Anolis sagrei: one gene and its partners. The protein of the gene in region 4 purifies or fractionates together with the protein of the main gene of each other region. This does not show direct contact. Links are inferred from orthologs where the notes say so. Each region holds a gene or a part of one and is shown on either strand. Other genes may lie near its edges. The genes, in order: CRK, UBQLN1, AP2M1 and EPS15.

What was found.
Region 1: the proteins of EPS15 (region 4) and CRK purify together in Homo sapiens (affinity purification with mass spectrometry; 3 studies listed by BioGRID and IntAct, with this or other methods). This does not show direct contact. The link is inferred for Anolis sagrei from reciprocal best matches to the Homo sapiens genes EPS15 and CRK.
Region 2: the proteins of EPS15 (region 4) and UBQLN1 purify together in Homo sapiens (affinity purification with western blotting; 3 studies listed by BioGRID and IntAct, with this or other methods). This does not show direct contact. The link is inferred for Anolis sagrei from reciprocal best matches to the Homo sapiens genes EPS15 and UBQLN1.
Region 3: the proteins of EPS15 (region 4) and AP2M1 purify together in Homo sapiens (affinity purification with mass spectrometry; 4 studies listed by BioGRID and IntAct, counting the BioPlex papers as one, with this or other methods). This does not show direct contact. The link is inferred for Anolis sagrei from reciprocal best matches to the Homo sapiens genes EPS15 and AP2M1.

Annotation. Positions count from the first base shown.
Region 1 is NC_090031.1:27,477,552-27,485,069, reverse strand, and holds the start of CRK (adapter molecule crk), read right to left. Parts: upstream 3,017-7,518; 5' UTR 2,906-3,016; coding exon 2,689-2,905; intron 1-2,688. Other genes in the region: RCC1L (RCC1-like G exchanging factor-like protein), read left to right, coding at 7,229-7,518. UniProt on the Homo sapiens protein: Involved in cell branching and adhesion mediated by BCAR1-CRK-RAPGEF1 signaling and activation of RAP1.
Region 2 is NC_090022.1:228,697,295-228,705,043, forward strand, and holds the start of UBQLN1 (ubiquilin-1), read right to left. Parts: upstream 3,003-7,749; 5' UTR 2,674-3,002; coding exon 2,518-2,673; intron 1-2,517. UniProt on the Homo sapiens protein: Plays an important role in the regulation of different protein degradation mechanisms and pathways including ubiquitin-proteasome system (UPS), autophagy and endoplasmic reticulum-associated protein degradation (ERAD) pathway.
Region 3 is NC_090023.1:264,557,003-264,564,426, forward strand, and holds the start of AP2M1 (AP-2 complex subunit mu), read right to left. Parts: upstream 3,021-7,424; 5' UTR 2,919-3,020; intron 1-2,918.
Region 4 is NC_090024.1:174,234,488-174,242,413, reverse strand, and holds the start of EPS15 (epidermal growth factor receptor substrate 15), read right to left. Parts: upstream 3,005-7,926; 5' UTR 2,880-3,004; coding exon 2,853-2,879; intron 1-2,852. UniProt on the Homo sapiens protein: Involved in cell growth regulation. May be involved in the regulation of mitogenic signals and control of cell proliferation. Involved in the internalization of ligand-inducible receptors of the receptor tyrosine kinase (RTK) type, in particular EGFR.

The DNA of each region.
Region 1 (7,518 bases), on a different chromosome or scaffold from region 4:
CAAGAGTTGGAAGTGGCTTCTAAAGGCCAACCAGTCCCAGCCCCTTCTGCCAAGTGGGAAGATAGAATTAACTATCCCATTATGATGCAAATATGATCATAGGATTATGATTATCAGACTCCTAGAGCACTCCCCCCCCCCCGCCAGAAAGGAAGATGGAATGACTAAAGTATTATTATTACTATTAGACTCACAGAGTTGGAAGGGACTTCTAAAGGCCACCAAGTCCAACCTTCTGCCAGGAGGGAAGACAGAATTACTATATTATAATTACTATTATTGTTGTTATGCAATTATTATCAGAGTTGGAAGGCACTTCTAAAGGCCACCCAGTCCAACCTTTGTCTGCCAGGAAGTTACATCATTATTATTATTATTATTATTATTATTATTATTATTATTATTACTCATAGAGTTGGAAGGGGCTTCTAAAGGCCACCCAGTCCTCCTCCCTTCTGCCAGGAGAGAAAATAGAATTACTATATTATTATTATGCAATTATTATTATGCTTCCAGAGAGTTAGAAGGGACTTCCAAAGGCCACCCAGTCCAACCCTCTTCTCCCAGGAAGGAAGACAGCATTACATTATTATTACTATTATTATTACTATTAGACTCAAGAGTTGGAAGTGGCTTCTAAAGGCCAACCAGTCCCAGCCCCTTCTGCCAAGTGGGAAGATAGAATTAACTATCCCATTATGATGCAAATATGATCATAGGATTATGATTATCAGACTCCTAGAGCACTCCCCCCCCCCCCGCCAGAAAGGAAGATGGAATGACTAAAGTATTATTATTACTATTAGACTCACAGAGTTGGAAGGGACTTCTAAAGGCCACCAAGTCCAACCTTCTGCCAGGAGGGAAGACAGAATTACTATATTATAATTACTATTATTGTTGTTATGCAATTATTATCAGAGTTGGAAGGCACTTCTAAAGGCCACCCAGTCCAACCTTTGTCTGCCAGGAAGTTACATCATCATCATTATTATTATTATTATTATTATTATTATTATTATTATTACTCATAGAGTTGGAAGGGGCTTCTAAAGGCCACCCAGTCCCACGCCTTTCTGCCAAGCAGAATAGAATTAACGATCCCATTATGATGCAAACATGATCATGGGATTGTGATTATGAAGTGACCCCAAAGGCCACCTAGTCCCACTCTTTCTGCCAGGAAGGAAGATAGAATTAGTATATTACTATATTATTATTATCAATCATCCTCACTATCAAATTTAAGGGTTGGAAGGAGCTTCTAAAGACCACCCAGTCACACCCCCTTCTGCCAAATGGGTAGATATAATTAACTATACCATTATGTGGCCGGCATGACTGCATGGAGCGCCATTACCTTCCCCCTATTGATCTACTCACATTTGCATGTATTTGAACTGCTAGGCTGGCATAAGCTGGGGCTGTCAGTGGAAGCTCACACCATTCCCCAGAATCGAACCTGTAACCTTTTGATCAACAAGCTCAGCAGCTCAGCGCTTTAACCCACTGTGCCACCGGGGGCTCTAATTATTAGCATATTATTATTAGCATAGTACAATATCAGTATTATATAATACTATATTGTACTATACCATTAAATTGTAATATAATTAGCAATAGTACATGTCATATAAATATATATAATCATAATATAATGTTATTATATTGTATGTAGTACAATATATTGTTCTATACCATTATACTGTAATATAATTAGTAATATTACATATAATATAAAAGATATTATTAGTTATTATATTAGGTTCTTGTAGGTTTTTTCGGGCTATAGGGCCATGTTCTAGAGGCATTTCTCCTGACGTTTCGCCTGCATCTATGGCAAGCATCCCCAGAAGTAGTGAGGTCTGTTGGAAATAGGAAAATGGGTTTATATATCTGTGGAATGACTGGGGTGGGGCAAAGAGCTCTTCTCTGCTGGAGCTAGGTGTGAATGTTTCAACTGACCACCTTCATTAGCATTTGAAGGCCTGGCTGAGCCTGGGAAAATCTTTTGTTGAGAGGTGTTAAGATGTGCCTGGTTGTTTCCTCTCTGCTGTTTTGCTGTTGTAATTTTAGAGCTGAAGCTCTCTCTTGCCCCACCCCAGTCATTCCACAGATATATAAACCCATTTTCCTATTTCCAACAGACCTCACTACCTCTGAGGATGCTTGCCATAGATGCAGGCGAAACGTCAGGAGAAATGCCTCTAGAACATGGCCCTATAGCCGGAAAAAACCTACAAGAACCTAGTGATTCCAGCCATGAAAGCCTTCGACAATACAGTTACTATATTTTATTACATTATAATATTATATGTATATACAATATATTATATTACAGGCTTCTAAAGGCCACCCAGTCCCTTCGGCCAAGCAGGATAGAATTAACTATCCCATGCTGATAGAAATATGATTCTGGGATGATGGTGACCAGAGCCCTGGAGCCGGAAGTGACCCCCAAGGCCACCTAGTCCCGCCCCCTTCTGCCAGGAAGCAGACTATATCACTATGTTATTATTATTATGCTCAGATTAAGAGTTGCAGGGACTTCCAGAAGCCACCCACCCCGCCCGCCCGTGCCAGGAAGGAGTACGGGGTGAGGACAAGGCTGCCACCCGCGAGAAGCAGGCCTAGGCAGGAGGCGCCCATTCCCGCAGGGCAGGGGGCGTGGCGAGGGGCGTGGCTCACCCGGAGGCCCGCCCCCTCCGGCTTGGCTGTTGACGATGTAGTGGGAGACGCGGGAGCTCTCGGAGACGGAGAGGACGAAGTCGCCCGGGATGGTGCCGGAGTCGCGGACGAGGAAGGTGCCGTGGCGCTGTCCCTGGAGCAGCGCCACCGCCTCCGCCCGGCTCAGCCGCCCCCAGTACCACCCGCCCTGGTCCTCCGCGTCGAACTGCCCCGCCATGGCCGGACGCGGGCGGGAACACGGCAGGCCCCTCGCCTCCGCGCTTCGCCTCAGCCGCCCAAGATGGCGGCCGCCGCGCCTCGCCGCCCGGAAGTGACGCGCGCGAGGAGGGCGGCGCCTCGTCCGGGGAAAGGGGCGGGGCTGAGCCAACGCCGCGCCTGCGCAGAAGCAGGGGGCGGGGACGCTGAGGCGAGCATTCTGAGTTCGAGGCCGGCCACAGGGGAAAAAAAAAACTACAAACACAAAAAAGAGAAAGCATAATTAATTATAATAATTATACTTATTATTATTATTATATTATATAATAATAATAATTACCAGTAAGGTAATGCTCAAGATCCTGCAAGGAAGACTCCAGCAATACATGGAGCGAGAGTTGCCAGACGTTCAAGCTGGGTTTAGAAAAGGCAGAAGAACGAGAGACCAGATTGCCAATATCCGCTGGAGAAAGGAGAAAGGCAGGGAGTTTCAGAAAAACATCTACTTCTGCTTCATTGACTATTCTAAAGCCTTTGACTGTGTGGATCATAATAAACTGTGGCAAGTGCTTGGTGAGATGGGCATCCCAAGCCACCTTGTCTCTCTCCTGAGGAATCTGTACAAGGACCAAGTAGCAACAGTCAGAACTGACCACGGAACAACAGACTGGTTCAAGATTGGGAAAGGCGTACGGCAAGGCTTGCATCCTCTCACCCAACCTTTTTAATTTGTATGCAGAACACATCATGCGAGGATGTGCGGGGCTTGAGGAATGCAAGGCTGGGGTGAAAATTGCTGGAACAAACATTAACAACCTCAGATATGCAGATGACACCACTCTGATGACCGAAAGCGAGGAGGAGCTGAGGAGCCTTCTAATCAAGGTGAAAGAAGAAAGCGCAAAAGCCGGGTTGCAGCTAAACGTCAAAAAAACCAAGATTATGGCAGCAAGAATGATTGACAACTGGGAAATAGAGGGAGAAACCGTGGAGGCCGTGACAGACTTTGTATTTCTAGGTGCAAAGATTACTGCAGATGCAGACTGTGGCCAGGAAATCAGAAGAGGCTTACTTCTTGGGAGGAGAGCAATGTCCAGTCTCGATAAAATAGTGAAGAGTAGAGATATCAGACTGGCAACAAAGATCCACCTAGTCAAAGCCATGGTATTCCCTGTAGTCACCTACGGATGTGAGAGCTGGACCTTAGGGAAGGCTGAGCGAAGGAAGATCGATGCTTTTGAGCTGTGGTGTTGGAGGAAAGTTCTGAGAGTGCCTTGGACTGCGAGAAGATCCAACCAGTCCATCCTCCAGGAAATAAAGCCCGACTGCTCACTGGAGGGAAAGATACTAGAGACAAAGTTGAAGTACTTTGGCCACATCATGAGGAGACAGGAAAGCCTAGAGAAGACAATTATGCTGGGGAAAGTGGAAGGCAAAAGGAAGAGGGGCCGACCAAGGGCAAGATGGATGGATGGCATCCTTGAAGTGACTGGACTGACCTTGAGGGAGCTGGGGGTGGTAACGGCTGACAGGGAGCTCTGGCGTGGGCTGGTACATGAGGTCACGAAGAGTCGGAGATGACTGAACGAATGAAGAACAACAACAACATTATTATTATAAAAATAACAGGTCATAGCACCGTTAAAGACACATACTTATGATATACAGTACAGTATATTGGAATATTGTCTTCTGTGCTATTCTAATTATTTATTAACTTTATTTATACCCTGCTAACATCTCCCGAAGGATTCGGTGCGGCTTACAAAAGACCAAGGCCCTCAATAAAACACAGCATAACAAATACAACAATAATACTCATAAAGCAAAACAAAAAATTAAAGCAGTAACAATAAACATTAAAAACAATAACACCACGACGCATTTAAAACAAAGGCCGGGCCAAATGTAATGAATAAAATTTAAAAGTGCTGGACATGACAGGTAAAATGTATAGGTTTTTAGAGGTAGGTGCAATGTGCAGACAATCTTAAATCTCTAGTAAAGTGCGTTTGGGACATGTGGATAGGAGCTTCCTATTCTGGAAAGGCACACTGGAACAGCCACATCTTCAAGCTCTTCCTGGAGACTGCCAGCGTTGGGGCTTGTCTGATGTCCTTGGGGAGAGAGTTCCAGAGTCGGGGGGCTACCACAGAGAAGGCCCTGTCCCTCTTCCCCCCCAAACCGCGCTTGCGACGTAGGTGGATCATGAGCAGAGCCTCTCCAGATGATCAGAGAGATCGTGTGGGTTCGTATACGGAGATGCAGTCATGCCCTTAATAATGTAAGGTAATGTAATATATTGTAATACAATAGTATTAATAATAATATGAAATTATAATTATATATTTTATGTCGTTGTTCATTCGCTCAGTCGTTTCTGACTCTTCGTGACCTCATGGACCAGCCCACGCCAGAGCTGTTTAGATCTACAAGCCATTCTAAACACCTTCGCAGAAGCATACGATAAACTCGGCCTGTCATCTAACATTAAGAAAACCAAAGTGCTCTTCAGTAGTCACCAGTCAATCCCTCTCCAATGCCAGAGATACAGCTTAATGTTGTAACATTAGAAAACACTGACCATATCCACTCCCTTGGCAGCCACCTTTCCACAAAAGTCAACATCAACACTGAAATACAACACTGCCTGAGCTCTGCGAGTGCAGCATTTTTCTGAATAAAGCAGAGAGTGTTTGAGGACCAGGACATCCGTAGGGATACCAAGCTGCTTGTTTATAAAGCTATTGTCCTCCCAAACCTGCTATATGCCTGCGAAATGTGGACTGTCTACAGACATCACATGCAACTCCTGGAACGATTCCATCAGCGCTGCCTGCAAATCTTGGGTAGACAAGTGGAAAATGTCAGCGTGCTGGAAGAAGCAAAGACCACTAGCATTGAAGCGATGGTCCACCAACTCCGCTGGACTGGCCACTTGTGCCGGATGTCCGACCACAGTCTCCCAAAGCAGTTGCTCTACTCCGAACTCAAGAATGGAAAATGGAATGTTGGTGGACAGGAAAAGAGATTTAAAGATGGGCTCAAAGCCAACATTATAAACTCTGGCATAGACACTGAGAACTGGGAAGCCCTGGCCCTTGAGCGCTCCAGCTGGAGGTCAGCTGTGACTAGCAGTGCTGCAGAATTTGAAGAGGCATGAATGGAGGGTGAAAGAGAGAAACGTGCCAAGAGGAAGGCACGTCAAGCCAACCCAGACCGAGACCGCCTTCCACCTGGAAACCAATTCCCTCACTGTGGGAGAAGATGCAGGTCAAGAATAGGGCTCCACAGTCACCTACAGACCCACCAGAAGACTGAACCTGGAAAACTATCCTACTCGGCCAACAAGGGATCGCCTAAGTAAGTAAGAGCTTCCTGTCGGCCGTCACCACCCCCAGCTCCTTCAAGGTCAATCCAATCACTTCAAGGATATCATCCATCCATCTTTTATATTTTATATTAAATGTAATATTACTAATAATATTACAATATAATGGTATAGTACAATATAGTAATATTTAATACTGATATTGTACTATGCTAATAATATAATATATTGTATGTATATATACATCTTGTAAGCCGCTCTGAGTCCCATTCGGGGTGAGAAGGGCGGCATATAAATGCCATAAATAAATAAATAAAGGGATTCAAAAGAGGGCCACAAGGCTGAAAAGGCTTTTTAGCCCTTTGAGGTTTGGGACTTAATTTTCCAGAAGTCTCAGCCAGCTTATCCAATGGCCAAGAATTCTGGGAAGTGGAGTCCCAAAGCCTAGAGGGCCACAAGAGTGAAGAGATCTTTTAGCCCTTTGGGAGTTTGGGACTCAATTTCCCAGAAGCCTCAGCCAGTAAATAAATAATAAATATTATATTACATCACTATAATAAGACGTGCGCAAGCGCAGAAGCTAAGATTCCTGAAAGGCGAGTAGACAAGGAGTGCGCACGCGCAGAAAACGGATGCGCAAGCCTAGAGGAAACAAGGCGTGCGCAGGCGCAGAGGCCAAGGCAGTGAAAGGCGAGAGACAAAGTGCGCAGGCGCAAAGGCGAGAGACAAGGAGTGAACAGGCACAGAAAAGGATGGGCAAGCCGAGAGAAGAAATAAGTCAGGCGCAGGCGCAGAAGCCAAGGCCGGGAAAGGCGAGAGACAAAAGTGCGCAGGCGCAGGAAACAGCTTGCCAAGCCGAGAGAGGAAACTAGTCTTGCGCAGGCGCAGAAGCCAAGGCCGTGAGAGGCGAGAGACAAGGAATGCGCAGGCGCGGAAAGCCAGGGAGAGGAAACACAAAGTGCGCACGCGCCAAAAGGGCAACAAGATGGCGCCGCCCAGGCCGGCGCCGTGTTTATGCCGCAAGCGAGCCTGTTGAGGGCCATGGCGGGGCTGTGGGGTTGTGTGGCGCCCCTGCGGGTTCCCCTCGCGGTCTCCCTCTGCCGCGGCCTGGCCCAAGCGGCGAAGGCGGGGAGCGTGAGGGCGCGGCGCGAGGCCGAGGAGGCGGCGCCGGTGTTCGCGTTCGTGGGGCGGCAGGCACGGCGGAAGGGCCGGGTCTTCGTGTGGGGCTTCTGCCTGGCCGGCGCCCTGGGCCTGCCCAGCTTCGTGGTCCCCGCCGCCCCCTCCCTGAAGCGGAGGAGAGTCCA
Region 2 (7,749 bases), on a different chromosome or scaffold from region 4:
GCTTGAAAGTAATTTTTACATAATATTTTGCATAATTTGGTGCATGAACCAAGTTTGTGTACACCGAATCACCAGAAAGCAAAAGTGTGCCATCTCAGCCCCCCTTGTGGACAACTGTAGATGTTGGAGCATTTGGGGTAAGGGATGATCAACCTATCCCAAGCCTGCCAGATTTGAAATCATGGCGACCCTCCCACTGAAGCTAGCTGGTCTCTCTCCCTGTCCGCCTGGCTCCTTTGTGTCCTCCTCTAGACAAAGGCAACCCTTCTTTGCGGTCATTTTGCGATTCCAGCACCAGGTGTTTTTCATCCCGTTAGCTCTACAAATGCTATCTCATTTTAAAACATAAAGGAAATGGGGGTGGGGGATCTAGAATAATCCCCTTTATAGCAAACTTTCTGGGCCTGTGGAGCAGTCGAATGCCTATCAGTGGAGGCACAAAGTAGGTAAGCGATTTCTTCATGCTCACTGTTGGACAAAATCCACAAATTAGAATGTTATATAAAAACAAATGAATGCCAACACCAAAAACAAAACAAAACAAAACAAAAAAAGCCCTGGAAGAGTATTAAATGAAAAAAGCTGAAGACCTGGCTCTGCGCACAAGCGTTTGAAGAATAAGTTTCTACAGTTTCAACACAGTCTGGATTAAGGATTATGAGCAGGGCTTTGTATGAAGAGAACAATGTACTTTATATGCTTTTTAAAATTTGTATGCTGTTTTATGTGTATTATTGCTTAATGTTAATTGTTTTTAAGTGTTTTAAAGTTTTATTGTTATTGCTGGGGGTTTTTTGCCTTAGTTGTAAGCCGCCTTGAGTCCCCTTTGGGTGAGAGAGGTGGGGCAGAAATGAGTTGAATAAATAATAAATATTATGCTCTTTAGGCTTTTTCATGGGCCCTGCTTTTACTCGGGAGTAGCTCCCTTGAACAATGTCACCCTGGTGCCACTCATTCATACCCAAGTGAAAACGACAGAGGGAGGAGAGTGCCTCTGTCTACATCAGGTATGGGCCAACTTGGGCCCTCCAGGAGTTTTGGACTTCAACTTCCACCATTACGCAAAAGATGTGGCTCGTGGCTGTTAGGAATGGAAAGGAAGGGGTCCGAGGCTGTTAGGAATGGAAAGGGAGGGCCCGAGGTTGTTAGAAATAGCACTTCAAGGAACAAGACAGACTGGAAACAAGTTACAGCATACTTAACAAAAAGGAATGTGAAAATACTTATTTAAGAAAAACAAGAAAGCAATGGACAAAACGAAGAAAGGGAGAAAAAGAAAAGAAAAAATAAAGAAAAAAGAAAGGAAAGGGAAAGAACCTCATAGAAGATACTGGGAAGTCTGAAAATCTACATTCTTATTTATTTTATTCTATCCATTTCTACATCTTTCATACTCACGATTTCATACCCCCTCCCCCCCCAGCCCTAACTTTACTCGACCTTTAACCTTTCTCTTTTCCCTTTAAACACTATTATTCCTAATCCAATCCACACTTCTACTTTTATATACATATCTCTATCTGAAGCTCTTTGATATTTTTACCATAACTTTGTGTTTTTGGGGGGGGGGGATCTAAATAAAAATTATTTTAAAATAAAGAAATGGAAAGGAAGGGGTGTGAGGCTGTTAGGAATGGAAAGGATGGGGTCTGAGGCTGTTTAGGAATGAAAAGGAAGGGGTCTGGAGCTGTTAGGAATGGAAAGGAAGGGGTTTGAGGCTGTTAGGAATGGAAAGGAAGGGGACTGAAGCTGTTAGGAATGAAAAGGAAGGGGTCTGAGGCTGTTGGAAATGGAAAGGAAGGGGTCTGAGGCTGTTAGGAATGAAAAGGAAGGGGTCTGAAGCTGTTAGGAATGGAAAGGAAGGGGTCTGAGGCTGTTAGGAATGAAAAGGAAGGGGTCTGAAGCTGTTAGGAATGAAAAGGAAGGGGTCTGAAGCTGTTAGGAATGAAAAGGAAGGGGTCTGGGGCTGTTAGAAATGGAAAGGAAGGGGTCTGAGGCTGTTAGGAATGGAAAGGAAGAGGCCCGAGGCTTTTAGGATTGGTCCAAAACGCCTGGAGGGCTCAAGTTAGCCCATGCCTGGTCAACACACTAAAATTAATACAGTAGGCCGCACATTGTGGGATCATGGGAGTTGGAGCCTTCTCTGCCTCAGAGTGGGGCGCCTCACCCGACCACAACTCGGACGAGTCCACAGCACGGAGCCCCGGGAGTTGAAAGCGGTGCCGAGCCGCGTCCATTCCCCAGTGTAGAGATTGAGGCCTCCCTCCCTCCCTCTCTCTGATGAGGCAATTGCTCCTCCCGCGTCAGCACTTCGGAGGCCGGTGACGAGGCAAAGGCCCCGCGCGGAAGCCAGCGGCGCGAGGAGGAAGGGAGAGAGAACATGGTCGCCGGTTCCATACACACACACACACACACACAAAATACCCCTTCACACAAGGCACACACTCCGCTCTGAGGCACCAGCCACGCCCCTCCCTCCCTCCTTAGCTGGCTCTCTCTCTCTCTCTCTCCTCTCACCTGCCGGATGCTGCTGGTCTCCGGCACGGCGAATTCCTCCTTCTCCTTCGGGGTCTTCACGGTGACTTTAATGATCCGCGGCTCAGTGGCGGCGGCGGCGGCAGGGGCGGGATGGCTCTCGCCGGGGCCCTGGGGGCTCTCGCCGCCCTCAGACATGGCGCGCGGGCCGACAGACGGAGGAGAAGCCGCCTCCGCTCGTTAAAGCCAGGCCGCGCGGAGAATGCCGGGTAACGCCGACCCTCCCTCCCTTCCTCCTCTTCGTCGCCTTCTTCTTCTTCCCCTCCTCGGCCCCCTTCCTCCTCCTCCTCCTCTTCCCTCGCGCACACCCCGACGCGCGACTCAGCTTTCTCTCCCAGAGTTCAACGGAAACAGTCCGGCTCGGCTACTACGGCGCCTGGTGATGACGTCAGGGGTCGGGGAAGTTGCTAGAAAAAAGGGGAGCGGGGTTGGTAAGAGAGAAAGAGAGAGAGAGGCGCAGGCGCGCATGTGCACAACGGAGAGGAACAAAAGGCTCCCCCCCCTCCCCGCGCCTCGGAGGTGCCGAGGTCACTGCGCACGCGCGGCTGGGGCGGAAAGCCCCCGCTGGCATTGTCAGGCGGGCGGATGCTCTGCGCCTGCGCAGAAAAAAACTTTTCGGCTGCTCGCAGTGGCGTAGTTAGTTACTCTCTGGTGCGTTGTGTGGTGGGATACAGGCCGGGGCAAACGTGGGTCCTCTTTGGCGTTTTGGACTTCAATTCCCACAATTCCTAACAGCCTCAGGCTCCTTCCTTTCCTCAGCTTAAGCGGCTGAGGGGGAAAAGGAAGGGGCCTCTTAGGAATGGTGGGAATTGAAGTCCAAACACCCGGAGAGCCCAAGTTTGCCCAGGCCAGGTGGAAACTTCGTGGGAGATATATATTAATCATTTATTTTTAGTGTCAGAAGCAAATGGAGAAGAATAATCATAATAATAAATGATATATATTATTATAATATCATAAAATTATAATGTATCATAATATAATAATTATATATATTATAAAATTGTAATATAATGATATAATATATCATATTATAATCATTATATAATATTAATATAATGATATAATGTATTATAATAATATAATAAAGCTTGGGAAGTGTTCAACTTGTGATTTTGTGATTCGAAATCCAGCATATAGATCTCGTTTGCTGTGACATTCTGTGTTTTTGTGTCAGTAAAAATATAATAATGACAAGAGTTTGGAGCACAATACTCCGACCTCACGATCATGTTATGGGTCATCGATGTTGCAATCCCAGGCGACAGCAGGATTGGAGAAACAACTGGAAAAGCTGACATGAGGATTTAAAGACTGAACTGCAAAGACTTGGGCACAAGCCAGTCATGGTGGTCCCAGTGGTGATTGGCACACTGGGTGCCGTGCCTAAAGACCTTGGCCTGCACTTAAACACAGTCGGCACTGACAAAATTACCATCTGTCAGCTGCAAAAGGCCACCATACTGGGATCTGCATACATTATTGTGGACTTCAACTCCCACAATTCCGAACAGCCAGCTGAAGTCCAAAACATCTGGAGGGCCCATTTGCTCATGCCTGGTATAGAAGCCCCCTAAACTGAGATTGCCGTATCTGAAGAATACATGACTCACAACAATGAAAAGTAGAAGGCAGTAAATGAGGAAACCTGTATCACAAATTGATAGACTCAGTCAAGGAAGACATGTCCCGAATCTGCAAGAGCTGTGCAGGGTGGCTAACCTTGTGCAGGATTAATAGAGTTAAATTGAGACATCTCATTCATAGGATCACCATAAGTCAAAGCAGATGGTAGTTAACAACAGCCATACTGATGGAGAAATTTCAGCAGCTGCCCCCCGCTTTCCTTTGAAACAAACTGAAAATTTGGGACTATAACTTCCATCAAACCTAATTAATACATCTTATATCCTGTAGTAAGAAAAGATGGTATAAACATTGTTTTAGTCTAAAATATCTGGAGGATCATACTCTGATAATATGATCTGAATAAAAATATCTATAAATTGACTAATTGTTGGCATTTAACACATTTAATGTGTGCTAAAATGCATAGAGGATCTAATTACTACGGTCTCCCTACCTGAGCTAGCGGGGGTGGTCTCGAGCCTGGCATTGGAGTCTCAACGGCTTCTTGTACTGGGGGACTTCAATGTACATGCCGAGACTACACTAGGAGGAGCGGCTCAGGACTTCATGTCATCCATGGCAACCATGGGGCTGTCCCAACGAGTATCTGGCCCACCCACTGTGCGGGACACACATTGGATCTGGTTTTCTGTCAGGGATGGGAGCAAGGTGGCGGTGTCGAGGAGTTATCCACTTCTCCGTTGCCATGGACCGACCACTATCTGGTCAGATTTAGACTCACCACACCTCCCAACCTCTGCAGAGGTGGGGGACCCATTAAGATGGTCCGCCCCAGGAGGCTTATGGATCCGAATGGATTCCTGATGGCTCTTGGGGATTTTCCTGCCACCTCGGTTGGTGATCCTGTTGAAGCCCTGGTGTCTCTCTGGAATGGGGAGATGACTAGGGCCATAAACACGATTGTTCCGGAACGTCCCCTCTCAAGTAGCCGAGCTAAACCAGCACCTTGGTTCAACGAGGAGCTGGCAGCGATGAAGCGAAGGAAGAGGAGACTAGAGCGCGTGTGGCGTTCGGACCCGAGCGAGTTAAATCGAACACGGTTTGTTGCCCTACTAAGGGCATACGCCGTGGCAATAAAGGCGGCAAAGAAAGCCTTCTTTGCGGCCAATATTGCGTCCGCAAAGAACCATCCGGCGGAGCTGTTTCGAGTTGTCAGAGGGCTATTGAACCCCACCATTCCGGATGGGAACCCTGACAACTCGACGGCCCGCTGTGAAGCATTTGCTCGGTTCTTTGCGGACAAAGTCGCTTTGATCCGCTCTGGCCTGGATACCACGTTAACGGCAGTCTCTGAGGATGTAACACGAGCATCTGCTTGTCCGATTTTGATGGATTCATTTCAATTGGTGAAACCCGAGGATGTGGACAAGATACTTGGAGGAATGAGAGCTACCACATGCATCCTAGACCCCTGCCCATCCTGGCTTCTAAAGGAGGCCAGAGGGGGATTGGCCGAGTGGGTGGAGGTGGTGGTTAATGCCTCCCTTCGGGAAGGCAAAATTCCAGCCAGCTTAAAACAAGCTGTAATAAAACCGCTGTTGAAAAAACCATCACTAGACCCCACTCAATTCGTCAACTATCGGCCTGTTTCCAATCTTCCCTTTTTGAGCAAAGTCCTGGAACGTGTGGTGGCCTCACAACTCCAGGTATTCTTGGTAGACACGGATTATCTGGATCCGGCACAGTCTGGTTTTAGGCCAGGACATGGTACCGAGACAGCCCTGGTCGCCTTAGTGGATGATCTCCGCAGGGAGCTCGACAGGGGGAGTGAGTCCCTGTTGGTCCTGCTGGATCTCTCAGCGGCCTTCGATACCGTCGACCACGGTATCCTTCTGGGACGCCTCGCGGGAATGGGCCTTGGTGGCACTGTTTTACAGTGGCTCAGGTCCTTCCTAGAGGGTCGTACCCAGAAGGTGTTGATGGGGGACAGCTGCTCGTCCTCACAACCATTGTTTTGTGGGGTCCCGCAGGGTTCAATACTGTCCCCCATGTTGTTTAACATCTACATGAAGCCGTTGGGAGAGATCATCCGGAGTTTCGGGGTGCGGTGTTATCTGTACGCAGATGATGTCCAACTCTGTCACTCCTTCCCACCTACTTCTAAGGAGGCTGTTCAGGTCCTGAACCGGTGCTTGGCCGCTGTGTCGGACTGGATGAGGGTGAACAAATTGAAATTGAATCCAGACAAGACAGAGGCACTCCTGGTCAGTCGAAAGGCCGAACGGGGCATAGGGTTACAGCCTGTGTTGGACGGGGTTACACTCCCCCTGAAGACGCAGGTTCGCAGCTTGGGTGTGACCCTGGATTCATCGCTGAGCCTGGAGCCTCAGGTCTCGGCGGTGGCCAGGGGAGCATTTGCACAGCTCCGGCTCGTGCGCCAGCTGCGCCCGTACCTCGGGAAGTCTGACTTGGCCACGGTAGTCCACGCTCTGGTCACATCCCGTATAGATTACTGCAACGCGCTTTACGTGGGGCTGCCCTTGAAGACTGCCCGGAAGCTTCAGATGGTCCAGCGCTCGGCAGCCAGGTTGCTAACAGGAGCAGCTCTCAGGGAGCATACCACTCCTCTGTTGAGCCAGCTCCACTGGCTGCCAATTTCCTACCGGGCACAATTCAAGGTGCTGGCGCTAGCCTACAAAGCCCTAAACGGTTCTGGCCCCACCTACCTCTCCGAACGCATCTCCACCTATGAACCGACATGGACATTAAGATCGTCCGGGGAGACCCTGCTCTCGGTTCCGCCTGCGTCGCAGGCACGGTTGGCGGGAACGAGAGACAGGGCCTTCTCGGTGGTGGCCCCTCGGTTATGGAATGCCCTACGCAATGACATCAGACAGGCCCCTTCGCTGCTGGCGTTTCGGAAGAAGCTCAAAACCTGGCTCTTTGAGCAAGCGTTTGGCTAATTAGCGCAATTGAATACAGGATGACGGTAAACTGAACATAGGAACGGCATAAGGATATGAGACTGGATCTTGTTTGTGATCGAGGCACTATGTATGAGTGTTGTATGTTTGCTATTGTGTATGCTGAGTTTTAATTGTTATTGCTGTGTTAATTAATATTGTGTAAACCGCATTGAGTCACCTAATTTGGTTGAGAAACGCGGTATAGAAATAAAGCAAATAAATAAATAATAAATTAATTAATGTTTGAAGAATAAACAACATATGGGATCTTTTTACCATGTGTGGTGGACTTGCAGAGCAGTCAAAAGTTCTGTTGCCAAAGACATAACGTGATATTTAAAAATCTTGAAATTTAATTTTCATTGAAACCTGAACTGTATAATTAAGCTTTTGCACAATTAAAGCTTGTGCGCCAGCTGCGCCCGTACCTTGGGAAGTCTGACTTGGCCACGGTGGTCCACGCTCTGGTTACATCCCATATTGACTGCTGCAACGCTCTATACGTGGGGTTGCCTCTGAAGACTGCCCAGAAGCTGAAATTAGTCCAACGTTCGGCAGCCAGATTACTAACCGGAGCAGGGTACAGAGAGCGCACAATTCCTTTGTTATACCAGCTCCACTGACTGCCAATTAGCTTCCGAGCACAATTCAAAATGCT
Region 3 (7,424 bases), on a different chromosome or scaffold from region 4:
AAAACAAGACCTGGGGCTGACTGTAGCTCAGATCACGAACTTCTTATTGCCCAATCTATCTATCTATCTATATATATAATAAAGAAGAGTGTTTGTTTGTATAGGAATTGTGGAGGGCGGTGTATGTGCCAGCGTTCTGATTGGCTGCCGCTGTGGTGCTATTTGCATATGGTCTCTGATTGGCCAGCTTCAATAGGACCCCCTGGTGGAGAAGAGGGTTCATGGCAGAAACGGGGCATGACAGAAGGAAATTTGCATATGCTCTCTGATTGGCCAGCCTCAAATCCAACATTCTGAGATGAGAAAGAGAGGAAAGGAAAGGCCAAAGGGGGCTGGGTCAGAACACTCCCAATACAGACCGAAATAGGCACACAAAGCCCCCATCACCCACTCTACATCCTACTGCAGTTTGGAGGAGGATGAACCATGGATGATGGGACTTGCAGTACCACCACTCACATTCTGAGACCACTGTTAACCTTATCCAATGACTGATCAGGACCAAACTTCGCACAGAGACCTCTCATGACCCACTGTACGTCCTGGTGTGGTTTGGCCGGGGATGGACCATGGATTATGGGACTTGCAGTACCATTGCTCAATTCTTCATACCACTGCAACCCTCATCCAATTACCAATAAATACCAAACTTGGCACACTGAGTCTCCATGGTGCACTCTACATCCAGGTGCAGTTTGAAGGAGGATGCACCATGGGCGATGGGACTTGCAATACCTGCACTCCCTTCCTAAGACCATTATAACTGCCAACAATGATGGATCAGGACCACAATTTACACAGAGAGCCTGCATAACTCACTCTACATCCTGGTGCGGTTTGGAAGAATTTGACAATGGATGATGGGACTTGCAGTCACCTCACTCACTTCCTGAGACCACCGAGACCCTCGCCAATGACTCATCAAGACTAAACTTGGCACATGGAGCTTCAATGACCCACTCTACATCCTGGAGCAGTTTGGAGGACGACAGACCATGGATGATGGGACTTCAAGTACCTCCACTACCCAAGACTGCTGCAAAACTCATCTAATGACCAATCAAGACCAACGTTGGCACACAGAGCCCCCATGACCCACTCTACATCCTGCTGCAGTTTTGGAGAAGGGTGGACCATGGATGATGGAACTTCCAATACCTTCACTCACATTCTGAGACCTCTGCAAACCTCTTCCAATGACGGATCAAGACCAAACTTGGTACATAGACCTCTCATGACCTACTTTACGACCTGGTGTTCTTTGGAAAAATTTGGGGATGGATGATGGGACTTGCAGTACCTTTGCTCACTTCCTGAGACCACTGAGACCCTCGCCAATGACTAATCAAGACTAAATTTGGCACATGGAGCTCCAATGACCCACTCTACATCCTGCTGCAGTTTGGAGGAGGACAGACCATGGATGATGGGACTTCAAGTACCTCCACTCCCTTCCAAAGATTGCTGCAACCCTCTTCTAATGACCAATCAAGACCACACTTGGCACACAGAGCCCCCATGATCCACTCTACATCCTGCTGCAGTTTGAAAGGGGATGGACTTTGGATGATGGGACTTGCAGTACCTTCACTCACTTACTGACACCACTGCCACCCTCATCTAATGACTGATAAAGACCAAACTTGGCACACAGAGCCCCCATGACCCACTCTATATCCTGCTGCTGTTTGTAGGAGGATGGCCCATGGATGATGGGACTTTGAAGTACCTTCACTCACTTCCTGAAAATAATGCTGCCATTATCCAAAGACCAATAAAGACCAAACTTGGCATACAGAACCGCCATTACCCACTTTCTCTAATAACCCGGGCAACGCCGGGTCCCCAAGCTAGTATATATATATAGAGAGAGAGAGAGAGAGTAATATAAATATATAAAATAATACATGAGTTTGTTAATTTGTCCTATGCATTGAGACTTTTAGGGACACCCTTGAAAGTGTGTATGTAAGTGTGTGTGTGTGTGTGTGTATGTCTGTGTGTATATATATATACATATATGTGCTGTAATATAAATATATAAAATAATACATGACTTTGTTAATTTGTACTATGCATTGAGACTTTTAGGGACACCCTTGAAAGTGTGTATGTGTGTGTGTTTGTTTGTGTGTGTATATTTATGTGTGTGTGTGTGTGTGTGTGTGTGTATATATATATATATATACACACACACACACACACACACACACACACACATACACACATTGTAATATAAATATATAAAATAATACATGACTTTGTTAGTTTGTCCTATGCATGGAGACTTTTAGGGACACCCTTGAAAGTGTGTATGTGTGTGTGTGTGTATATATGTATGTATATCTGTGTGTATATACACACATACACACACACTGAAATATAAATATATAAAATAATACACGAGTTTGTTAATTTGTCCTATGCATTGAGACTTTTAGGGACACCCTTGAAAATGTGTATGTGTGTGTGTTTGTGTGTATATTTATGTATGTACACACACACATACACAAACACTGAAATATAAATATATAATAATACATGAGTTTGTTAATTTGTCCTATGCTTTGAGTCTTTTAGGGACACCCTTGAAAGTGTGTGTGTGTGTATGTATGTATGTATGTATATGTGTGTGTATACACACACACACACTGTAATATAAATATATAAAATAATACATGACTTTGTTAATTTGTCCTATGCATTGAGACTTTTAGGGACACCCTTGAAAGTGTGTATGTGTGTGTGTGTGTTTGTGTGTGCATATGTATATGTGTGTGTGTGTTGGGGATGGGCCTCAGTCTGGGCTTGGCCTCAGGAAGAGGCGCTATTCAACAAGCCCTTTGCTCCCCGAGTTGGGGGAGGCCTCTAAAGGCGCAGGAGAAACAGAGAAAGGGTTAGAGTAAGAGAGGGCTCACCTGCTTCGGCCTCCCGCCTCTCCTTCTCCTCCTTCTTCTTCTTCACCAACGGCTAAAATGGCGGCCTCTCCCCCCTCCGCTATAACTGCAGCGGCGCCGCCAGTACGCATGCGCTGCCCGAGAGAGCGAGAGAAGCCTGCGAAAAGGGCAGAGACTTCTTGACCCGGCATGCAACGCGGCAGAGGGAGGAATCACTCGCAAGCTTGAGCTTCGCGCGGTGGCCGACGGGGCGCGTAGTTTTTTTGGTCTTTTGCAGTTCTATCTTATCATAAGGCTCTCCTTTGGCCCAGCTTTTCCCGTTTGAACTGGGAATCCTGGGATGTGTAAACTTGGAGAGAGCAGAGATGTCCCCTTTGGATCCTCAGTGCCTCACACTAAATTGCCATGGGTAGCTTGCAATATAGTTTATACAACTTATAATATAGTACAATATATTATATAATACCAATAGTATTGATATAATGTATTATATATGTATATTGTGGTATAATAATACAGTACAATATAATAATATATAATATAATAATAATATATAATAATATAATAATTGTATATTATATATTACATGTAATATTAGTAATAATATTGCCTTATAGTGCTATAGTACAATATCGTGATATCATATATATATATATATATATATGTATATGTATATGTATATATGGTATAATAATACAGTACAATATAATAATATATGATATAATAATTGTATATTATATATTGCATGTAATATTACTAATAATATTGCTGTATTGTGGTGTAGTACAATATAGTAATTCAATATATATAATATTATATAGTTGTTGTTGTTCATTCATTCAGTCGTCTCCGACTCTTCGTGACCTCATGGACCAGCCCACGCCAGAGCTCCCTGTCAGCCGTCACCACCCCAAGCTCCTTCAAGGTCAGTCCAGTCACTTCAAGGATGCCATCCATCCATCTTGCCCTTGGTCGGCCCCTCTTCCTTTTGCCTTCCACTTTCCCCAGCATAATTGTCTTCTCTAGGCTTTGCTGTCTCCTCATGATGTGGCCAAAGGACTTCCACTTTGTCTCTAGTATCTTTCCCTCCAGTGAGCAGCCGGGCTTTATTTCCTGGAGGATGGACTGGTTGGATCTTCTCGCAGTCCAAGGCACTCTCAGAACTTTCCTCCAACACCACAGCTCAAAAGCATCTCTCTTCCTTCGCTCAGCCTTCTCTAAGGTCCAGCTCTCACATCCGTAGGCGACTACAGGGAATACCATGGCTTTGACTAGGCAATGGATCTTTGTTGCCAGTGTGATGTCTCTACTCTTTACTATTTTATCAAGATTGGACATTGCTCTCCTCCCAAGAAGGAAGCGTCTTCTGATTTCCTGGCCAGTCTGCATCTGCAGTAATCTTTGCCCCTAGAAATACAAAGTCTGTCACGGCCTCCACATTTTATTTTCCAGTTGTCAATCATTCTTGTTGCCATAATCTTGGTTTTTTTATGTTTAGCTGCAACCCGGCTTTTGCGCTTTCTTCTTTCACCTTGATTAGAAGGCTCCTCAGCTCCTCCTCGCTTTCGGCCATCAGAGTGGTGTCATCTGCATATCTGAGGTTGTTAATGTTTCTTCCAGCAATTTTCACCCCAGCTTTGCATTCCTCAAGCCCCACACATCTTCGCATGATGTGTTCTGCATGCAAGTTAAAAAGGTTGGGTGAGAGGATGCAGCCTTGCCGTACGCCTTTCCCAATCTTGAACCAGTCTGTTGTTCCGTGGTCAGTTCTGACTGTTGCTCCTTGGTCCTTGTACAGATTCCTCAGGAGAGAGGGAAGGTGCCTTGGGATGCCCATCCCACCAAGAACTTGCCACAATTTATTATGATCCACACAGTCAAAGGCTTTAGAATAGTCAATGAAGCAGAAATAGATGTTTTTCTGAAACTCCCTGCCTTTCTCCATTCTCCAGCATCCAGATATTGGCAATCTGGTCTCTTGTTCCTCTGCCTTTTCTAAACCCAGCTTGAACATCTGGCAACTCTCGCTCCATGTATTGCTGGAGTCTTCCTTGCAGGATCTTGAGCATTACCTTACTGGCATGAAAAATAAGGGCCACTGTACGGAAGTTTGAGCAGTCTTTCGCATTTCTCTTTTTTGGTATGGGGATATAAATTGCCAACTTTGTTTCTTATCATACCAATTTTTACCTGAAATTTACCTCCAATGTTTCTAATTTTCTGGAAGAGGTTTATATATATAATACATTACTTCAATATTATAGGGAGCATACAACACCCCTATTAAAACAGCCTCATTGGCTGCCAATAAGTTGCCGAGTCAAATTCAAGGTGCAGGTTATGACCTATAAAGCCCTAAACAGTTCGGGCCCCGCCTATCTACGCGATCGCATCTCCCTCTACAAACCAGCGCAAACTCAAAGATCCACAGGGGAGGTCCTTCTCTCGCTCCCACCACCATCATTAACACAGTTGGTGGGGACGAGAGAGAAGGCCTTCTCGGTGGTGGCCCCCCACCTCTGGAACCTCCTCCCCAGAGAAATAAGACAGGCCCCATCCCTCTCCTCTTTTTTTAAGAACTTGAGACTTGGTGGTTTCACCAGGCCTTTGAGAATTACTAGCATGAACTCCAGCCCCTGGCCACTAGCTAGAATATGCCCCTTCTCCTCACCTATTACCCCGGTCAGTTCTCCAATACGCTCAGGAAATGGCTCCACTATTACTGTTGCTGGGACAGGTTATTGCACTTTACCCATTCCCCTGGCCCCCTATATCTTGCACTAGCCTCGCCCGGCTATATGCTTAGGCCCTTTCTGAAATTCCGGCCCAAACAGCTAACCTTGGCATGAAGAATAAGGGGAACTGGTTTTATTGTATACTAGCTGCTCCTGCCACACGTTGCTGTGGCCCAGTCTGTGTATATGTGTTTTTTGTGTGTACATGTGTGTGTATATATTTGTGGTTTTGCCCATGCGTTGTAATATTTTTTATTTATTTATTGGTTTTTTAAGTTTCTTCAGCTGTTTTTCAGTTTTTTTATGAGTAATGGTCACTGGTTTTTAAACTTTAATTACATTTGGCCGCAGATTTTAAATGTGCACTGTACTTTGTTTAATGTGTATGCTATTTGTGTATGAAATTTATTTTAATTGCCTTGTATTGTGTCTGTTATTGCTTGTATTGATGTATTGCGGGCTCGGGCTCATGTAAGCCGCACCGAGTCCCATGGGGAGATGGTAGCAGGGTATAAATAAAGATTATTATTATTATTATTATTATTATTATTATTATTATTATTGGTCTGATAGTTGTATTGTGTCCAAATTTGGTGTCAATTCGTCAAGTGGTTTTTGAGTTATGTTAATCCCACAAACGAACATTACATTTTTATTTATATAGATAGATGTATTGTACTGATAATTTTACACTTATGTTTTGTTTACTCTGTATGTTTGTGTGTTTTTGTGATTGGAAACCGCACTGAATCCCCTAGGAGGGAGAGAGAGTGGTATATAAATAAAGTTTTATTATTATATATTATTATATAACGACTAAAATAAGCCACACCGAGACCACATGGAGTCCAATAAAACTATTTTTATAAATAAAAAAACACATAGGATGGTTTCAATTTATATAAAATTTGGAAGGGGGGAGAATATGTGTGACACAGGAAGATAGCACCAAAGGAGGAGGAAGGAAACGGAAGGAGGAACAGGGCAAAAGTGTAGTAGTACCTGGTCAAGAGAGAGGAGAAAACAATGTCGCATCCAGGAAAACATAACAGGGATGGCTAAAGTGGCAGCAAAACAGCCTCGTCTTTATATAGCAGGCATGAGCAAAGTCCTAGTCCGACATTCAAGCCAATCAAACGTGTTGAGAATTATATCGAGGGAAGATATCTCATTTCCTGCAAGGCTCCTGTTTGTGCTTGTGATTTCCACCTGGCAGCATGAATGCCAGAAAGCAATGTTTCTCCCAATCTGATGCCAGAATGTCTGTTCTATGGCAGGACTACAAGTGACAGAGTGTTCCCATAGAAACTGTTTCATCTTCCAGCAGAGCAGCCTGGACTGATCCATCTTTACATACATTTCCTTCAAGCCCTGAATGGGTTATTCTTTAATCCAGAAAAAACATGAGAAGACAACACTGGGAAAAGGGAGGGAAGCAAAGCAGATGCAAGGAGAAAAGAAATGGGAAGAGAGAGATTATCACCTGCGCCCATCCTGCTCTTTTCTCTGGTGTTCTGGGGCTCAGTCACACCTTGAGGACAGCAAGACTATAAGCTTAGTTCCCAAATATGTGGTTTTAAAAGCCTGCATATGATGGATATTCCAGGCCCCTTCCACACAGCTGTCTAAAATCCACATTGAACCGAATTATATGACAGTGTGGACTCTGATAAACCAGTTCAAAGCAGATATTGTGGATTATCTGCCTTGATATTCTGGATTATTTGGCTGTGTGGAAGGGCCCTCCATCAAAGCCCACTAAGCCTCCTATGGCAACTGGCACATATTTGTC
Region 4 (7,926 bases):
ATATGGCTGTGTGGAAGGGCCCTGAGTTAGGCCTGTAATTGTTCCTCCATGAAAACAGCACCAAATTCTTATTTACACAAATATAAAGAACCCCAGGAGGTACACATAGAATAATGAGGATTGCATAAATACACAGCACCTACACAAGTCATTATGACTACATTTCCTGTTTTTATCTAAAAGACTAATTAACATGAAAGGCAGCAATCCTGCCTTGGCATCTTCTTATCCCAGTCCAAACACTGGTGCTTTCCTAGTCAAGAAGGATTTTTACACATTTGAATTGAAGTGGGGCTTCTGTGCCACCAGAACTTATATATTAACATTCAGACCATCATGTTCCAAAAAGAACTGGAGAAATAAGCTATTCAAGAGTTACAAAAAACAAACCTAAGTTTCACCTTTGACTTTTTCTGTTCTCTATGTAACACACCTAGCTTGTTCTGAGGCTTGTGAAGGTAAGTATTTACAAAGAGAGAGAGACATTCACGGGACAAAAGTGGCTTAAAAAAGAGTGTAACACAGAGCAAGAAAAATATATGTATCTCTTAGGAAACAGGCAATGTACACAAACTTTGTTTCATGTACAAAGCTATTAAAATATTGTTTATAAAATTGACTTCAGGTTATAGGAAACATGAATGAATGTCACATTTAGACTTAGGTCCCATCTCCAAGCTATCTCTTTATGTGTATGTAAATATTCCAAATTTGGAAGCACTTTGGTTCCAAGCATTACAGATAAAAGACCTTCAACCTATCTTACAGTGTATTTACACTGTAGAATGTATAGTTTGACACTACCTTAACTGCAGCAGCTCAATGCTATAGTGTACTTTGGTAAGATACCAGTGGTCTTTGGAAGAATAGGCTAAAGGCCCTATAAAACTACAACTCTCATTCCACAGCTCATAAGTATGGGGCTCAGTATTTTCGCCACTGGACATGAAGGGTTATGGTAAGTAGTAAAGTAAGTAAGTATGGTGGTTAAAGTGATATCAAACTGCATTAATTCTACAATGTAGATGAGAAAGTGCATGGACGGGTCAACTCCTGGGGCAATCCAGAAACACATTTGCTGCAGTATAACAACTTTGGTAAGGGTGCATCTCTACATCATAGGATTACTGCAGTTTGACATTACTTTAACTGCCAGGGATCAATGCTATGGAAACCCAGGAGTTGTAGTTTTACAGGATTTTTGCACTGCTACAGTAGTTAAAGTGGTGTTAAACCATACCCAGTCTACAGTGTAGAACTGTAGATGTACCCACAGTACAGTACACTTCGAAAGCAACATCTAGGGGTGAATGTACTGTGGAATTAGTACAGTTTGACACCACTTTTAACTGTCACGGGAGGTATAATTTTGTGAGTGGCTAGAAAAGGCTAAAGATCTTATGAAATGACCAATCCCATTATTTCATAGCATTGAGCATTAATAGTATAAGCCCCCTTCCTTACAGCTGAATAAAATCCCACATTATCTGCTTTGAACTGGAATATATGGCACTGTGGGAGGGCCCTAAGTCTGCAGCGTATATGTATCCCTAGAGCGGTGGTTCTTAACCTGTGGGCCGCAGACCACCAGTGGGCTGTGAGGACGAAAATCCGATCCGCGAACCTTTCCTCTTTATTTATTTAATTTTTGCTCCTTTTGCACCGCCTGCCACTCCTTCCCTGTTGTTCACCATGGCACATGTTCTGTATCAGAAACTAGAGCTGATGTGGTCTGTTCAATGCAATTTTCTGAATCACCACCCCAAACCGAATCTAAAGTTGACCATAAACTGACTTGTAACTCCTTTGGTACTAATGTCGGAGAGTGGCCCCGGTCAAAGCGATCCCTGGTCAAAAAAAGATTGATAACTATGTCAGGAGCGACTTGAAAAACTGCAAGTCACTTCTGGTGTGAGAGAATTGGCTGTCTGCAAGGACGTTGCCCAGGGGGCGCCCAGATGTTTTGATGTTTTACCATCCTTGTGGGAGGCTTCTGTCATGTCCCTGTATGGGGAGCTGGAGCTGACAGAGGGAGCTCATCCACGCTCTCCCCAGATTTGAACCTGCGACCTGTTGGCCTTCAGTCCTCAGGGTTTAACCCACTGTGCCATCGGGAGCTCAGTACTGCCCTAGAGAGATGAGAATACTATGGGGTCCTGGGAAGGGTAGTTTTGCAAAGTTTTGAGCCTTCTCTGCCAGAGAGGGGCTGCTGTCTCACCAAAAAACTACAACTCCCAGGGTCCTTTCCCGCAGGCATGGGCTAACTTGGGCCCTCCAGATGTTATGGACTTCAACTCCCACAATTCGAAGGCTGTTAGGAATTATGGGAGTTGAAGTCCACAACACCTGGAGGGTCCTGGGGCAGGCATGGGCTAACTTGGGCCCTCAAGGTGCAGTGGACTTCAACTCCCACAATTCCTAGACAGGAATTGTGAGAGTTGAAGTCCACACCTGGCGGGCCCTTCCACACAGCCCTATATCCCAGAATATCAAGGCAGACAATCCACCATATCTGTTTTGAACTGGGTTATTTGAGTCCACACTGCCATATATTCCAGTTCAAAGCAGATAATGTGGGATTTTATTCAGCCCAAGTTTGCCCATGCCTGCTATATACCAAGACTGTACAACTGCTACAGGGCTCACGATGCAAAACTACAGACTCCGTGGCAGTTGAGAGAGGTGGTTGTAAGATAAGGGCCTGGAAGAGGCAGGCCGCGTCAAAGGGGAAGGGAGGGAAACACAAAAGCGGGGGGGGGGGAGGAACCGGGGGGCGGGAGGAAGCCTTTCCCTCAGCCAAGGGCCCCTCCAGAGGGTTTCCTTTTCCGCCCTCCCGCCTTCCCCACAGTCACCTGCGTCAAGGAGAAATGCGTGGCCATGCTGCTTCCATCCTGTAGCTCTCCCCTTCGCGGAAAAGCGGAGCAAGGCCCGGCCCTCCGTCCCTCACTCTCTGCCCAACTTCAGCAACTTCCCGAGACGCCCCGGACAGGCCCCGCCTCCCTGCCTTCCTTCCTTCCCTCCCTCCCGGCAGCCTCTCCGGAGCAGAGCCGGCCTCCCAAAGCTCCCCAGGCTCAGGGGGAGCAGTGTTGTGCGGCTCCTCTCTGCTGCGGCCTAGCGAGAAACTCTCCCACCAGGCCTCAAGCTCGCTTCCTAAGGCGTCCTCGCCACTTTCTTCAACTATGAGGAATGGAACCTGAATGGATTTCGTACACAGTGTCCCTCTTGGAGCCAGAAAATAGTAACTCTATCTAAGACAATGGTTCTCAACCTGTGGGTCCTCAGGTGTTTTGGCCTACAACTCCCGGAAATTCTGGGCACCACAACTGAAGAGAGATACTGACAAGCTAGAATGTGTCCAGAGTAGGGCCACTCAAATGATCAAGGGTCTGGAGAACAAGCCCTATGAGGAGCGGCTTAAAGAGCTGGGATTGTTTAGCTTGCAAAAGAGAAGGCTGAGAGGAGACGTGATGAGGGCCATGTATAAATATGTGAGAGGAAGTCATAGGGAGGAGGGAGCAGGCTTGTTTTCTGCTGCCCTGGAGACTAGGACGTGGAACAATGGCTTCAAACTACAAGAAAGGAGATTCCATCTGAACGTTAGGAAGAACTTCCTGACTGTTAGAGCTGTTCAGCAGTGGAACTCTCTGCCCCGGAGTGTGGTACAGGCTCCTTCTTTACCAGCTGTTAGAATTTCTGGGAGTTGAAAGCCAAAACATCTGGGGACCCACAGGTTGAGAACCACTGACCTAAGACCTCATTACACTAGAGCAGGCCTAGGCAAACTTGGGCCCTGCAGGTGTTTTGGACTTCAACTTCCACAATTCCCAAAACAAATCCGGCCCAGCTTACCTGTTTGAACGTATCTCTCCTTATGAACCATCTAGGAACTTAAGATCATCAGCTCTTATTCCCACCTTCGCAGGCGCATCTGGAGGAGAGGAGAGACAGGGCCTTCTCAGTGGTGGCCCCTCTGCTGTGGAATTCCCTCCTTAAAGATATTAGATTGGCCCCCTCTACCTCCTGACTTTCTGTAAAAAAAAACTGGCTCTGAACAAGCTTTTGGAAATACAGCATAATAGATAAACATGGAACTATGAAAGAGTAAACATGGAACGGCTTAGACGATGCTACTGGAAAAATGAGTCTTAACAGGAAGACACAGGCAATTATATGTTTTAAAGGGTTTTTTGTATGGATTTGTATAATGTTGTGCTTTATGTTTTTTAATTGTATTTTATGACTGTTGTGGCATCAAATTGCTGCAAATTTGTAAGCCGCCCTGAGTCGTCTTCGGGCTGAGAAAGTCAGGATTGAAATACTGTAAATAAATAAATAAATTCCTAACAGCCTCAGGCCCCTTCCTTTTCCCCCTCAGCTACTTAAGTTGATATAAATAGTATCAATCCCACTTACAATCCAAATGCTAAAATCAAAGCAAACAGATCAAAAGAACAAATCACAATACATAGAGAAAATAATCCTAATAAAATATATTACTTATAGCTCATAACTCCAGTCAGTATATTTTCTTGCTATATATATACACACACACATATATATCTCTCTCACACACTTTGGATATCTCTCATGGGGATTCGGTGGCTTACAAAATGAAGGCAGTCATTTGATGCCTCAAAAATAATAAGCAATAAATTGAATAATAAATATATAATATAAGCGTTCTATCATAAAACAAATCATAATAAAAACAAATAAACCACTTTCCACAACAACAATCGCATGTGTTAAAAGCCATATCCATAGAACAGTCCTTATCAGTCAAAATTTTGCTTATGGTAGAAACAAGGATTGGTGAGAAAACTCCAGTGGGGACACCTTTTCTCCATGATGATAACTTTCAGGAGTAAATTTCCCTTGCAAGGGGTAAATTTCTCTTACTTCCTGTTGTCTCATCCCTGTTCTTAACTAGCCCTCTCTAGCTAACGCTATGCTCTCACCACTAATCTCTATGAGGGGCTTTCCCCCTCCATTGTCACCCCTCAAAATCAAATTGCCCCCCTGTGGGACATGTACCCCATTGTTGGGAACTAGGGGGCTGCTCTAAATTATATGTCCTTTAATGGGAGAGAATGGCCTTTCATGAGTTTTGGTATGTTGTAAAACCAGTTTCTGCTTAATACGCCCTCCGGACAGTACTGACATCCCTCACATTAGATTTGAAATATATAACTATGGAGTTTGTTTCTAAAAGGTACTAAATCCATATGAAAAGTTAAAGGGATTTTTTAAATGTCAGAAATGACTTGAGAAACTGCAAGTTGCTTCTGGTGTGAGAGAATTGGCCGTCTGCAGGGATGTTGCCCAGGGGACGCCAGGATGTTTTAGCATCCAGTGGGAGGCTTCTCTCATGTGCCCACATGGGAAGTTGGAGCTGACGGACAGGAGCTCACCCCATCTCATGGATTCAAACCACTGACCTTCAGGTCAGCAGTTCAGCCGGCACAAGCGTTTAATCCATTACGCCACCATAGTCGCAGATAATAAAAATCCCTATACCAAAGTGATTTGATATATCTTGCTAGTTTTGATCTGTACTCCTAGCCAACAATGTGCTGCTACCCATAATTCCTTTTAATTTTTCTTTTTTTCTTTTTTCTTTTTGGATTTGGTACCTTTTGGAAAGAAACACTACAATTATGTTCATGATATAAGATACATGAAATAAGAAGCAGTCGTGGTTCCTAATTCTGAGATGTCACAACATGTGTTTATATAATGCAATATTCATGATAATAAGCACCAAGAAATTTTATTTTTAAAGCAAAATTAAAGCTGAGATTTTCTTTTCAGACAGTCAGATCCTGGACTAATGACATTCTTCCACTTGTATGTATCTATTCACATTGTTCAAATTGCTCCAAGTGACCTATTTATCAAGGACAGGTTTTATTTTCTGGTATCTGTCCTTGTTTGATAAAAACCATCCTTTTTTGCCGTTGGGAAGATATTTTTCATTAACTTTTAAAGTTAATGCACAAATTTGTCCCCCGCCATTCATAAATAATTGAATGCCTCCTGCAATTATTTGAGTTGCAGTTATTTTCTTCCAAAAAAAAAAAAAACCTGACCCAATATACCAGTAGTATTATTTACCATTCTGCTAAATACTCCTTAGCTGCCATGACTCACTGTTATAGAATCATGGCAGATGTAGTTTGGTTAAGCACAAACACTATTTGGCAGGGAAGACTAAAGAAACTACAACTCCCAGGAGTCCATAGTACTGTGCTATTGCTATTAAAGCAGTGTCGTGTGGCATTACTTCTATAGAATCACCTTACTGGCTAGAGTGTTTAGCTGTGTATAGCTGTGGAGGTAACAGGAGGGGTTTCAGGAAAATACCATAAGTAAAGGTATTACATGTCCTCAAACTATCCCTATTTTTATCTGAGAAATGCTGGAGAGTCAGATCTATTTAGACTAGGGGTGTATGTGCAAATATTTCACGTTTATTGAACAAATCACACTAAGATGAAAGAATTGCTTTGTGAGAGCAGTTAGCATATTTAACTCAAGGTTGCTCTCAGAAGTTGCTACACACATAAATTAATTCAACAAATGTGTAAGTCCGAAGTATAATTGCGGCTTGTACACTCCACAAAAAAGGGCTCTGCCAAAAACAGAGCACTGAAATGTTGCCGCAAAAGAGTAAATATGTCAATTGCTTTGGTTTGCTTGATTAAAACAGTTTTATCGCTGTTCAGCACAAATTTATATTCAAACTAGCTGCCTTCTCAGACTCTGCTATGTTTATAGTCAAGCTGTAGTAGGCCAAATTAGTCATAGTTGATTGAAATGGGTCGTCAGTTCCCTACATATACTTTAAATTTAAATTAGATAGGATAAGTGCACACACACAGGAACAGCAGAATTCACTATCTTATTGAGTGTATTCTACCTTCAGAGTCAATAATCATTTGCAGCAATACATAAGAAAGACCTTGTTGTCCTCATATGCAGTTTTGAGAGTCAAAGGCAATGTGAGATGGAAAATAGGACTGGAGGTTTCACATGTTGGTTTTAAGCAGTTTTAGACTGTCTTCTGAATTTTGATTACTTAAAAAAGTGGAACTTAAAATTAAAAATGTTGTTGTTTAAAAGAAGAAGAGCCCATTGCTTCTGCCAAATACAGTTTAGGCATCACATAAATAACTTAATTGGAGGAACTGTGTTAGATGGGGTTACACTCCCCCTGAAGACGCAGGTTCGCAGCTTGGGAGTGATCCTGGACTCATCGCTGAGCCTGGAACCCCAGGTCTCAGCGTTGGCCGGGAGAGCTTTTGCACAATTAAAACTTGTGCGCCAGTTGCGGCCGTACCTTGGGAAGTCAGATCTGGCCACAGTGGTCCACGCTCTTGTTACATCCCGAATAGATTACTGCAACGCACTCTACGTGGGGTTGCCTTTGAAGACTGTTCGGAAACTTCAATTAGTCCAGCGGGCGGCAGCCAGATTACTCACCGGAGGGTCATACAGAGAGCATACCACCCCTCTGTTATGTCAGCTCCACTGGCTGCCGATCCAGTTCCGAGCACAATTTAAAGTGCTGGTTTTGACCTACAAAACCCTATTCGGCTCCGGCCCAGCATATCTGTCCGAACGCATCTCCCTCTACGTCCCGCCTCAGAGTTTAAGATCTTCTGGGGAGGCCCTGCTCTCGGCCCCGCCTCTATCACAAGATTGGCGGGGATGAGGAGCAGGACCTTCTCGGTGGTGGCCCCTCACCTGTGGAATTCACTCCCCGGGGAAATTAGGTCATCGACATCCCTCCTTTCCTTTAGAAGGAAATTAAAAACATGGATTTGGGACCAGGCGTTTGGGTAATCTGGCAGACAGATAAAGGACAAGGATGACTAGAACTGATAGGAATTGACAATGTGGAATGAATTTATGGATTCTGAGTTG